Linked DNA regions of Macaca fascicularis. The protein of the gene in region 3 purifies or fractionates together with the protein of the main gene of each other region. This does not show direct contact. Links are inferred from orthologs where the notes say so. Each region holds a gene or a part of one and is shown on either strand. Other genes may lie near its edges. The genes, in order: FAM83D, FAM83H and CSNK1A1L.

Region 1 (3,605 bases), on a different chromosome or scaffold from region 3:
TCACTTAGCATGTTTGCAGGTTCATCCATGCTGTAGCATGTATCAGCACTTCATTCCTTTTTATGGTTGAATAGTACGCTATTGTATAAATAGACAACATATCATTTAACCATTTATCAGTTGATGGGCATTGGATTGTTTCCACTCTTTGACTTTATGAATAATGCTTCTATAAAACTCATACACAAATTTTTGTGGGGGCCTATATTTTCATCTCCTAGGAGAATTGCCAGGTCACGGGTACTGTCCATTTTCTGTAAGACCAGGCAAATGACTTTGCTCACATCCTCAGTCCCTTCCTTGTAAACAGGGATACTGCCACCAACGACCTTGTAGATCATGGATGCTTAGTCACATTCGTTGACTGTGGTGAAACTGGATATAGTGTACCACAAACCTTTTCCTGTTCAGGATGAACTTTCAGATCCATGCACATATCCAAAAACTGAGAGAGGAGAGCCTGGTCCAGAAGGATATACACAGCGACTCCCTGTTTCCTGCATATTTCTTGAAGGTCTCTGAAGATGTCGATGTCTGTGAACACATCCATTACCACTGCAATCACCTACAGGTGAAACGGGGAAGAGCACATGGTCAGCTTATAGGACACCACCTTATAGCATGCTGTCTGGACTCTGGACTCCACTCAGAACTGGGAAATGATCCCTATCCAACAGTTATCCTTCCCTCCTGCTTCTGCAGTATTGGTGCTCCCCTCACCATAGACTCTTTTGCACCTCCAAAGACACCTGGGCCCCGTATCCTACAAATCTTGACTTGGCCTAGCTAACACTCCATGCTGTCACTAGGAGCTAACACTCCCAACTAAACTGTTCATGCTGGCAGGTTTCTCAAAAATACACATCAATCCACTGCCTTGCTCTCTTATGAACCTGCTCCATTCACCTTCTATTCCTCCACTAAACCCCTGTCTTACAGGCTTAATTCAGATCAGCAAGCTGTCTGGTTCTGTGGGTAACACACTGTTATCTTTGGCTTGTAGATTTCCCCACCAGGATTCAGTTTGCTGTCCGTTAAACAAGTAAATAAAACCTTAGATTCTGAGGGCCCTTCTTGGGGGTAGCATTCTCGAAATCTACTTTTTAAATTATTGTCTGGTTTTAAATCTTAATCTCTGACTTTTTTAAGGCCTGCCCCATTCACCATCAACTCATGACTTGAAAGCAACCAAAGCAGGCCCATGGATTCTCCCATCTTCTGCTTCCCTCCTACTGCATACCACATTTGTTAACATTCTGTTCTTTCCACCAGCCAGGCCTGATCAGCTGTCTGTTGGGCAGGTTCTAACCAAATGGCTTCCACCACACCGGCCTCTCCTCAGTAAAAGGCTCTCTCTGCAGTTCTTTGGTATTGTCCACAGTGCAAGCCCATAGCAAAGAACAGGGAAATATTTCCTAAGGATTCTGCCCTTAAGCTCAGAGTAGGCCTTTCTACTCCCCAACAACGTGGCTCCATTCATGCCTCCCAAGTGATTTTCCACATCTAGCATCAGACTACAATTAAGAGCCACCTTTTAGCCACGCATTCTTGGGCAAATTACAGCTGTTTCAAATGTCTGTTTCCTTAGCTGCAAAATAGGCTTGTATCGAGAATTAAATGACTATGTTACATAAAGTACAAGGTACAAAGGAACCCTTAGTATCTGCTCATTTATTCACTTTACCAGTCCCGAGCTGGAGCTGTCCAGACAGTTCAACACAGGGAGACACTGCTCAGCTTTCCTCGCTCTTTTAAAGACAGGCTGCTCCAGCCACAATGCCTCTAATCACACCCTTTGCAGGCTTAAAACCAAGGTCCTCAGCAAACTCCTGGCAAGGCAGTGGGGGTGTCCAAACATCCAGGCTTAGAAACAGGTCCTGACAAACTGAGTCAGAAGCCGGGGGTGTTATCTAAGGAAACCAAGGCTTGGGAGCTCTTCTGTAGTCTGGAGCTATATGGGTTTCTCCTTCCTCCCCATTTCAACAGTAAAAGCCTGTCTCTCAGAATCACATTAACTCTTTTTCTGAAAGTTAGGATTATTCATTTATGGGTTTCACTCCTTCTACTGCAGCAAAGGCTCTTGAATGGGATTGATTCATTTCTGTGGTCCCAGAGGACTCAGGACAGTACATGACAGTCATTACTCCTTAAGGATTTGGGGAACTAAAGAAGGAATAAAGAGACAAAAAGGCAATTTGGATATCTTTCTCCAACACTCCAGGGCGTGGTCTACTAGGATGTGAGACCTTGAAATGCCAGTTCCTGGGAAGTCACTGCTGTGAGGGAGTCGAGAAGACCAGTTACTCTCCTGCTGCCTTTCCCTCCCCACCCCTTTTAATGATGCTGTAAGCTGTGGGCTACTCTTGGTAAAGAGCAAGGCTGAAACCCACTGAACACAGTGATTTAAAAAACGAGAAACGTTCTTTCTGAACTCATGGCATCCTCGGAAGTTTATATCCTCCACTGGCTTTACACATCCTATTTTGACAGTCCTATTCATCCTACTCATTCGGGTCATACAGCAGGGATTAAAGACAAAAGGTCTGGGCATAGAACCCAGCTCTACCACCTACCAGCTCTGTGACCTTGGGCAAGTGGCTTAATCTCTTGAGCCTCAGTTTCCTCCTCAGGAGGATACAATTAATAGCATCTGGGTCAAAGGGCTGCTGTGAGGATTAAGTGAAATAAAGCATGGAAAGGGCTTAGCACAGGAGGGCAAGGCAGGAAACGGGTGCTATTATGCAGCCAAGACCTCCTCAGAGCCCACCATGGGCTGCACACTGCACTAGGCAGAAAGATGGCTATGAGGAATTTGACATAGACCCAACTTACCTCAAGGAGAGGACACAGGATGCAGAGAGGCAAAATGATATATATAGCCTAAGCAATTAAACTAAGGGGGCTGGGCATGGTGGCTCATGTCTATAATCCCAGTGCTTCGGGAGACCAAGGTGGGTGGATTACCTGAGGTCAGGAGTTTGAGACCATCCTGGCCAACATGGTAAAACCCTGTCTCTACTAAAAATACAAAAAGTTAGCTGAGCATGGTGTCATGCACCTGTCATCCCAGCTACTAGGAAGGCTGAGGTACAAGAATTACTTGAACCCAGGAAGTGAAGGTTGCAGTGAGCCGAGATCGCACCATTGCACTGCAGCCTGGGCAACAGAGCAAGACTCCATCTCAAAAAACAAAACAAAACAAAACAAAACAAAAACAAGGTGTCTCCTCCAGTGGTGGACTATAGGCACTATAGGTACTCAAATGCTTACCAGATAAGAGCAGGGAAGGCTTCCTGGAGGAGATGGCATTTGAGCTGAATCACAAGGACACTTGGACAAGGGCATGGGAGAAGTGAAGGGAGGAGAAGGCATTCCCACGGGAAGCCATATGATGACAAAGGAAGAGGTAGGGAATGACGGGGTATGTACCAGTCTAGCTGGAACGTACAGCATGTATAAAAGGGAGTCACGGGACATGACTGGAAAAGATGGATGAATGAGCAAGATCACAGAAGGCCCTGAATGCCAACTGAGGAATCAGTTTCAAACTTCTCCACATTGCCTGTATAAGAGTAATGAGTTCAAAGTGAAGCATCCAACAGGAT
Region 2 (4,272 bases), on a different chromosome or scaffold from region 3:
CCATCTCTACAAAAAATTTTAAACATCAGGCAGGCATGGTGGCGTGCGCATGCAGTCCCAGCCACTTGGGAAGCTGAGACAAGGGTTGTTTGAGCCCAGGAGTTGGAGGCTGCTATGAGTTATGATTGTGACACTGCACTCCTGCCTGGGTGATAGAGACTGCATCGCTACAAAAAATGAAAATAAAACCAACCGCCCCCCAAAACATTTTATGAGTATTGGCTTAAAGACAAACATAATCCAGGCTGTATTCATCATTATAGTATTCACTTTTTTCTTAAGACATTCACAGGCCCCTGGCACTGTGCCTACTGGATAAGCTGGTGCCACCCATGCTGGCATGTGTCTGTCCCTGACTGCCTGGGAAACCGTGGGTAGGTCACTGCACCTCTCTGGCCTACCTCTACTGCACAACACAGCTGAGGGTCCACAAGACACCGTGCCTAGCCAAGGTGAGCGCAGCAAACAGGGCTGTGACCACCCTCCTCCTGGAATGGCAACCCTAAGCCCTACGCATAGCCCTGGGCGACACCTCCTCCCCATCCCCAGGGTTTCACAATTGGGTTCCCACAGCCCATTCTATGACTGCCCAGCCCTGCAACACTGACCCCTAGACTCTGTCTCTGTCTACCAGTCCCCCTCCTTCCCTTGACCTTTCTTGTCACTGTCCTTCTCAGATAAAACCTCCCTGGACCACAACCCCTTGGTGCCCACAGGGCCCTGCAGGGCCTGCACTCCACATCGCCCAGATCTGGCTCTCCACTTGCTCAGAGTCCTGTTGCCACCAGCCCCCCGTCCAGGGCAGCAGGGACCTTTCCAGGTCCTGGGCTCCCCACCATCATCCATACTTGGCTGCCCCACAGCCCAATCTGTTCTCCAAAGGGTCCCTGCAGGGTGCCTGGCCTCTCCAGAAAGGTCAGATGGGGCGCACCCAGGGCCCACGCCTGGGGTCACCGAGCTACCTGGGTACCTCTCCCTGGAAGGAGAGCCCTAGGGACCGTTCAGCCCATCCCACTGCTCCTCGGGTTGGGGAGGGAGGCAGGACACCTATCCCCGCCTAGCACACAGGTTCCCGAATGTTGGCCCTGGCTGGGAAGGTGGTTCAGCCCAGACAGAGGAGTGTGCCCTGGGGCACTGACAGGATGGGCGCTGGCCAGCTGGACTGCACGGGTGCTAACCGGAGCCACTAGGCTGAGAATGTTGGGGTCAGGAGGCCGCCGTCCTGCCTGGTACCCCCGGGGGTGACATGGAGTTGGGACATGGGAAATACCTGGTGCCACTCAACAGCCCCAGATGCCAACTGGCCTGGGAGAAGCTGTCCCAACATTTCTTTGTTGGGGCATTGTCCTCATGGTTGACATATGGGGCTCGTTAGGGCAGATCGAGGCCAACCACATGGGGGTGAGGTGTAGGCCTGTCTGGCTGGGCCGGGGCGCCCACTCACCACTGCCAGCCTGGCTGTAGGGGCGGTGTCTGACCATATAGGGCAGGGGGAACAACCCTGCTAACCTTGTTTGAGGGCACTTCCCGACGCTGGGGGACACTCTAGAAAGGACCCCCACTGTCCCTTAGGATTTCACAGGGGAGGGATATCCACACAGCATCCAGGCTCCAGGCTGTGTGTAATGGGGGCAGGGATCATCTGGACTGTGGAATCCCCCGTTGCCAGGAGCCCTCCCAGCAGACACCCCTCATCATCACAGGGTGATGCCCAGACCTCCAATGGCTTCATTCCTCACATCGTGTCCTTTCATGGGTACGTGTCTGCTGGGCTATGGACGGGGCCGCAGACACTCCCAAGCCTGAGATGGAGCACCCCAGTGGCCTGCATGCCCACACATTTGCCTACCAAACGCTTGCCCAAGGGAGGTAGGGCACGGAACCCACCCATGGCCAATGACTCAGCACGAATCCACTCTTCTGCTGCTGACCCCTGACCTCTGACTCGAAGTCAGGGCCCTCAGCTGGCCTTCAAGGACCCCATCCTCTCCACCCTGGCAGGAAGTGGGGTTCCTGAGTATCTGGAAGGAGGACCCCATGGAAGGATCCGGAGTTCCTACACAAAGTGGGGTGAGCCTGTGCCAAGTTCCGATGGGCCCAGGAGGGCGCGGAGGCTCTAGGAGGCGGAAAGGTGGGGTGCGGAGGACAGGGCTCACAGACCGGAAGTCGCTCAGTGGTAGCTTGCGGGGTGGGCACCCCAGCCCCCAACGGGGTCAGTGCACCCTGCGAGCTCGCGGCTGCGGCGGCTGGGTGCCCCATCCACCCACCCCAGCCCTGGAACATGGGCGCTACGGGCAGCCCTCCCGTCACTCGCCCTGCTTGCCAGGCGGGGATCCAGGCCGCACCCTGGCCACCCCAGTCCACGGTGGCCCGGGCGGGCGTCCCCAGGGAAGGGTCCAGGCCGTGCCTAGCACCCAGACTCCAGCTAGGCCGCGAGGGCAGCAGCGAGTCGGGACGGCCAGGCAGGCTCGACCCAGATCCCGGGCCGCTTCCCACTCGGCTCTTCTCGGGCTGCCGTCGTGCGAGGGCGCTCGCGTCCATATCCGCACAGCGGCGCCCCCTGTCCGAGCTGACCCGCCGCCCCGGCCCCGCGCACGCGGCCGCGCTCCACTCCCACCGCCCCTCTCTGGGTCGCGCGGCCCCGGCCCAGGTGCGGGCGCGAGGGTAGCCCAGGTGGGACCGCACCGAGGGGCGCCCGCCCCCGCCTCGCCCCGCCCGGGCCGGGGGAGGGGGGCCCTACCTGGCCAGGTGCGCGGGGTCTCGGCACGGGGGCAGCAGGAGCCGACCGCCGCCCAGCGGCCTCGCGGTCCGGTCGGTCCGGCAGCCACTCCCTGCCGCGGCCCGCCCGGCCTGATTCACGCGCCCGCCCCCGCCCCGCCCGTCGCTCCTGCCTCCTGCCTGCCCGGGCAGCACCTGGGGGCGGAGCGGCCCCACCCGCGGCGCGCCCGCATTCCTGCGCCCCGCGCCCGCCGCGGCCCCGCCGCCCGCCCCGGACCGCGCCCCCAGCCCGCGCCCCGACCCTCCGCCCCGACCCGCCCGTGCCCTGCGGCCACGTGCCCAGAAACCCCGGCCCAGCGCCGCCGGAGACCGTGAGGCCCCCACTTCAAAGGCCTCGACCCCCAGGAGCCCAACTGTTGACCCCAGGCTCAAAGTTCCTAGCCTGACCCCTGACCCTCGCCCCGGAAGTTGGGGTGACTCGGAAGTTCCGGCTCAGTCGCTAGGAAACAAGCCAGCCCGACGCAAGGGGCGGAGCTCTGACCTCCTCGCCGAGTTGGTGAAGGCAGGTGCGGCAGGTGAGGGCGCTGGGGCGGCGTCGAGCCCCGGGCGGGGCCGGGTCTGGGAGCCCCGAAAGCACAGGGGATCCATTCACCACACACCGGTCTCCCACCGCACCAGCGTCCCACACGTAGAGGGGATCCCGCCCAACAGAGGACCCCCAGGCCCCGACCCCCACCACACACACACACTGATGCCCACAAGTACCTGGGGTTCCCCATCTTTCTCCCTCATCCCTTCACATCCATGCCCACACTTGTAGGGGACTCTGCTGCAGTGACCCCCAATGCACATGCGGACCCCGAATGACCTGTCCCTCGTGTGCACCAACCCCCCAAGCACAGGAGACTCCTCAGGAAGACAGAACCCAACAAGAACACCCAGTCCTGTCCACTTCAGTCACCCACAAACACGCTGACGTCCGCACACGTAGGGAACCCCACCTGCATGTGAGATCCCTCAGACACCGATCCCACACACAAACAGGGATGCCATATTCACACTGACTCTGAGAGACCAGGGGACCTCCCTCACACATATAGAACCCTGGGTGTACACTCGGGGACCCCGCGAAAACCAAGCCCCAACACGGACAAGGGACCCAGTGTGCACACCAAGCCTCACATACCAGACGCCCCCGCATGAACACAGCAACCCCACACACTACCCCGAGCTGCCCCTGGGTGCTCCAGTACCCCCAAATCCCCCTCAGGCCCTCACTTAGGGCCTCTCCCCCCACTTAGGCCCTGCCCTGCACTGGATTACCTGTCCAAACCACCACCCTTCACCCCTGCCACTCCCACCCCAAGGACTGGCCCTGCCTGAACGCTTTCTGATGGTATCAGTCACCTTTCTGTTTGTCCCTCTTGCCATGTGATCCTATTTTCTGTTTTCAGGGTCACTCCCAGTTTCATTTGTTCTTTCCCCAGACACTCAGTGACACCCCACTGGTACCAGTATGCTGGAAACATGGGTGGGGGGTCAGACCAGTGCCCA
Region 3 (4,287 bases):
TCCTTTATCTTGCGTCAGAGAAAAAAAAAGAAGGTGCAAAGAGATTGAGAGGAAGCGCATACACACACACATAATTCAGAGAAACAGATGGGGGTTAGGGAGGGTCAATGATCACAGAACCTCACACAGTGTGCTCTCCAAGGGTAAAAGTCAACTGTTTATAGCCATTTCACAAGTATTTTAAACAACAATGTTTTATAGTCAAACCCTTCAATGCTTGCATTCTTTTTTGAAATCAGCCCAGCTATTAGTCAGTGGAAGAAGTAACAATACCAAGTTCTGACAGTTGCAGTACTAGATACTGTACCACAAGTCATTAGAAAAAGAAAAATGAAAGAATACATTTCTCTTCATACAAAACAATTATTTTAGAATAAAAACATTGAAAAAAGTTATGTCATGAAATAAAATTTACTTGCAAAGGAATATCATGTAACAAATGACTTTAAGTTGACTATCAAAAAATTGGGGAGATTTTTATTTCCTAGTGAATCAGCAAGGCATTTTTTGGTTGTTGTTTAAAAAAGTATCATTTTCTTACAGAAACGGTTTTAAGTGAACTTGTAAAACATAAAAGCTCCCATTTCAAAATATGAACAAAATCCCAGATCACATAGGTGTTTACAGTGATTACATTTATCTAAACAATGCACATACATGTTCAGTTGTAAGATGTTAACTAAATTTCTGTGACAAATATGGTTGTTGTTGTCGTTTTTATAATACCGAAAACATGATAAAGTTAGTGTGGAATTCTAAAGATTATCTGGTAGTTACTAAGATTTTCTTATGTCTTTGCAGGTAAGCAGGCAGTATCTTTCCTATTCTCAAAACTGGAATTTTTGTTTGCTACCAGATCAGCTGGCTTGCAAACAAGAAGCCAACCATTTTAAGAATGCTTTTTGTGTGAACAATTTGCAGACCCCAGGGATGGAGAAACCCTAAAAATGCTCAATGGTAAGCATTTACAACCTTCACAGCTGTGGCTGAAGACTGTTCTTCTGAAATGAGATATCAAAGCAGTCTAGTTCAAAATAAAAGGTTTTAACAAAAAAATTGGCATATGGACAATGTCTCCACCAATTCGTGTGTGTCAACCATTTAGTTAATTTTTCTACTTGAATAAATGCAATAGAAAACCAGACACCATGTTTCACTACCTCAGTTAATATTCACAATTACAGCGGCTACACACCTTGGGATACAGCATCACCCACGCTCCCCAGAGTCAGTTTATATTGAAATAAAGTTTTTTACACCAAGTAAATGGTTGTCCACAGCCACTAGCTAGTGTGCATATGAACTACAATTTCTAGATGTGGGGAGAAACAAATGCTGCTCGAATCATCTGCTCTGCTTCTTCTGTTCCTCATTCATGCTTAGTTTTCTTTCACATTATTCTTGTTTTTTTCAGTTTGCTTGCCTGTCTGGGTTTGGGCCTGCTGACCCTGCCCACTGGAAGAGGCTGCCTGCTGTGCTGCTTTCTGCTTTAACATCGTCCAATCAAATGTGTAGTCATATTGGTGGTTCAGGGTCCTGAAAAGAATGCGGAATAGCTGCCTCAGATACATGTAATCTGGGACTTCCTCAAAGCGCAGCCCACGACAGTAGTTCAAGTACATGGCGAATTCTGCAGGAAACCCCTTACATAAAACTTCAACAGGGGTGGACATCTTCTTCTCACTAATTTTTTCATATTTTTGTTTTTTTGTTATAGCCTTTAGTCCTTGCCACGGCAGGCTGGTTCTATTAAAATACATGAAAACGTAGCCTAAGGATTCCATGTCATCTCGGCGGCTCTGCTCAATACCAAGATGTGCATTGATGCTGGCATATCGGACAGTGCCAATGAGGTGTTTATCTTCTCTGTACGGTATGTGTTGCCTGGTCCTGTTGTCTCTGTACTTTTTGGCCAAACCAAAATCAATAAGGAACAACTTGTTACAGTGGCGCCCAGTACCCATCAGGAAGTTATCTGGTTTAATGTCTCGGTGTAGAAAATTCTTTGTATGCACGTATTCAATTCTGCTGATCATCTGGTCGGCTAACATAAGTACAGTTTTCATGGTGAACCTTCTTGAACAGAAATTAAAGAGGTCTTCGAGGCTGGGTCCCAGAAGGTCCATGACTAGCACATTGCTGTCTTTTTCCTGACCATACCAGTGCATGTGGGGGATGCCAACCCCACCTTGAAGAATCGTGTAGAGTTTGCTCTCATATAACAACTGGGGGTGCTTGGCCTTCTGAGATTCCAGCTTCACTGCTACTTCCTCGCCGTTGGTGGTGGTGATCCCCAGATAAACGTCTCCGAAGGAGCCAGACCCGATCTTCCGCACCAGTTTGTATTTCCCTCCCACAACGAGTTCGGCCTTGGAGCCGCTGTTGTTTGCCATCCTGAGAGGCAAAGATGGAGGCTGGGCTCTGCCCTGACCCCTCTAGGGGAGGATGGAGGCCTCCGGGGCCCGCCAGCCCCACAAGGCTGAGGGTGAGGGCTGCTGGAAATGGCCACCGAGGCCTCTCCCGGTGTTACAGGGCCTGGAGTCAGCCTGATCCCCAGAGCACACCAGGGTTTCCGCCAGGCCACAGTTTTCGAGGGCTTCTCAAGGTTGCCAGGCTGGGCCACCACCTCTTTCTGGGTGGCGGTCGCTGCCTCGCTGTCGCGGCGACGTCGCGGGCTGAGAAAGGGGGCACAGCGAGTTGCGGCAGCGATACCGCTGCCACCGCTGCCAACGGCTGTGGGCCCGAGGGCCCGGTCACGCCGCTGGCGCCGCCATCTTGTTCCTCCGCCTCAGCCAACCACAAATCGAGAATTTTTGGAGACACTATTAATGTTTGAGTCCTCTGTTAGGTGTTCCACTCATCTTGTTCCATTTAACACGAACTTGCTAGTCTTGTAAGATAGCTGTTATTTTCCCTGATTCGTTGGGTAAGAAAGGCTAAGTCTCAGGTAAGCGGCCTAAGGTTGCAAGAGATTGTGGGCCAGCTGGAATTCAAAACTGCCTAGGCTTATGTAACTCGAAGCTCACCTCCTTTCAACTTAATTGTGCAGAAATGGGAGGCTTTTATAACAAAGATATTCTTGTTTTCGGGCCCAGTCATTGTCCCACCTACTTCCCTAGCCATCATGTCTCCCTGGGTTAATGCCAGTTGGGGTGCCACCCCTTGGGCTTTTTCTCTGCAGTCTCAGTGGTTGCTTGTTTATTGAGTTTAGTCAACAAGAGTTACTTACTGCTAGTTAAATTGAAATGTGTGTGTGTGTGTTTTTTAAGCGATCTTTTTGAAATTTTTTCATAGAGTGCTTTGAATTTAAATAAGATTCCACAGAGAAGTTCTGGCAAAACTGACTAAATGAAGGATTCAAGTAAAATTTAACCAAAATAGAGAGAAGAAACAGACGCCGGCAGTTCTGAGCATTTTCTCGAAAGAATTGGGGCCAACACTAGCAGAAAAAGCGGTACCATTTCAATATTTTTATGACAGTTCACATCACAAATAACAAAACCTGTGCGATTATTTTGTTTTATGAGGATATGGGATAGGAACTGAGTATAATCCTAACGGGGCAGTAGCAACGAATTTGGGGACCAATGGCAGAAGGGCAGGAGAGGGAGGTGCAGCTTTGAAAGTAGGTATTCCCACTTTACTGTCTCACATAAATTAGTGCTGTTTCTAACTTTTCTGACCTGCATCAATCTATGGCGAGAGAAGGAGCTGCTTTGAGACATAGACGGGCACAGAACATTATAGAGTGCTTTAAAACATTTTTAAAGTTCGCTTAAGACAAATATGTGAGGTGGGTGGCACAGTGTATTACTTGGCTTTGCAGCAGGAACAACTCGCAAATCTCAGTGACTTACAATGACAAAGTTTATTTATCATTCAGGTTTTATGTAAGCTGTAGATCAGCTGCATCTCTGCTTCCTGTGTCCTCTTTGTTCTAGAATGCGGGCTGAAAGAGCAGCCTCCTTAGGAGCATGCTGTTCTCATAATAAAAGGAGTGGCAAATGTCACATTCCACTGGGCGAAACACATCACATGGCCAGGTCCAAAGACAGTGGGGTGAAAATACATACTCCTCCCACAGGTGGATAGTAATACAGTATACTGCTGGCATATTTTATTATTGTGATTGTACTTCTCATTTTATACAAGTGGAAATTAAGGCATAGAGAGGTTAGATGAATTGCCCAAGACCACACTACAGGTAAGTGTTGGAGGCCAATTTGAAACTGAAGTCTGGCCCAAGGCAGTTACTTTTTATACGGTACCAACTAGAATGGCATTTCT

Evidence for each region.
Region 1: the proteins of CSNK1A1L (region 3) and FAM83D purify together in Homo sapiens (affinity purification with mass spectrometry; 3 studies listed by BioGRID and IntAct, with this or other methods). This does not show direct contact. The link is inferred for Macaca fascicularis from reciprocal best matches to the Homo sapiens genes CSNK1A1L and FAM83D.
Region 2: the proteins of CSNK1A1L (region 3) and FAM83H purify together in Homo sapiens (affinity purification with mass spectrometry; 3 studies listed by BioGRID and IntAct, with this or other methods). This does not show direct contact. The link is inferred for Macaca fascicularis from reciprocal best matches to the Homo sapiens genes CSNK1A1L and FAM83H.

What each region holds. Positions count from the first base shown.
Region 1 is NC_088384.1:95,066,184-95,069,788, reverse strand, and holds part of FAM83D (protein FAM83D), read right to left. Parts: intron 566-3,605; coding exon 398-565; intron 1-397.
Region 2 is NC_088382.1:153,390,955-153,395,226, forward strand, and holds the start of FAM83H (protein FAM83H), read right to left. Parts: upstream 2,823-4,272; 5' UTR 2,741-2,822; intron 2,016-2,740; exon of another isoform or gene 1,888-2,015; intron 527-1,887; exon of another isoform or gene 402-526; intron 1-401. UniProt on the Homo sapiens protein: May play a major role in the structural organization and calcification of developing enamel. May play a role in keratin cytoskeleton disassembly by recruiting CSNK1A1 to keratin filaments. Thereby, it may regulate epithelial cell migration.
Region 3 is NC_088391.1:16,651,031-16,655,317, forward strand, and holds CSNK1A1L (casein kinase I), read right to left. Parts: upstream 2,804-4,287; 5' UTR 2,394-2,803; coding exon 1,380-2,393; 3' UTR 400-1,379; downstream 1-399. UniProt on the Homo sapiens protein: Casein kinases are operationally defined by their preferential utilization of acidic proteins such as caseins as substrates. It can phosphorylate a large number of proteins. Participates in Wnt signaling.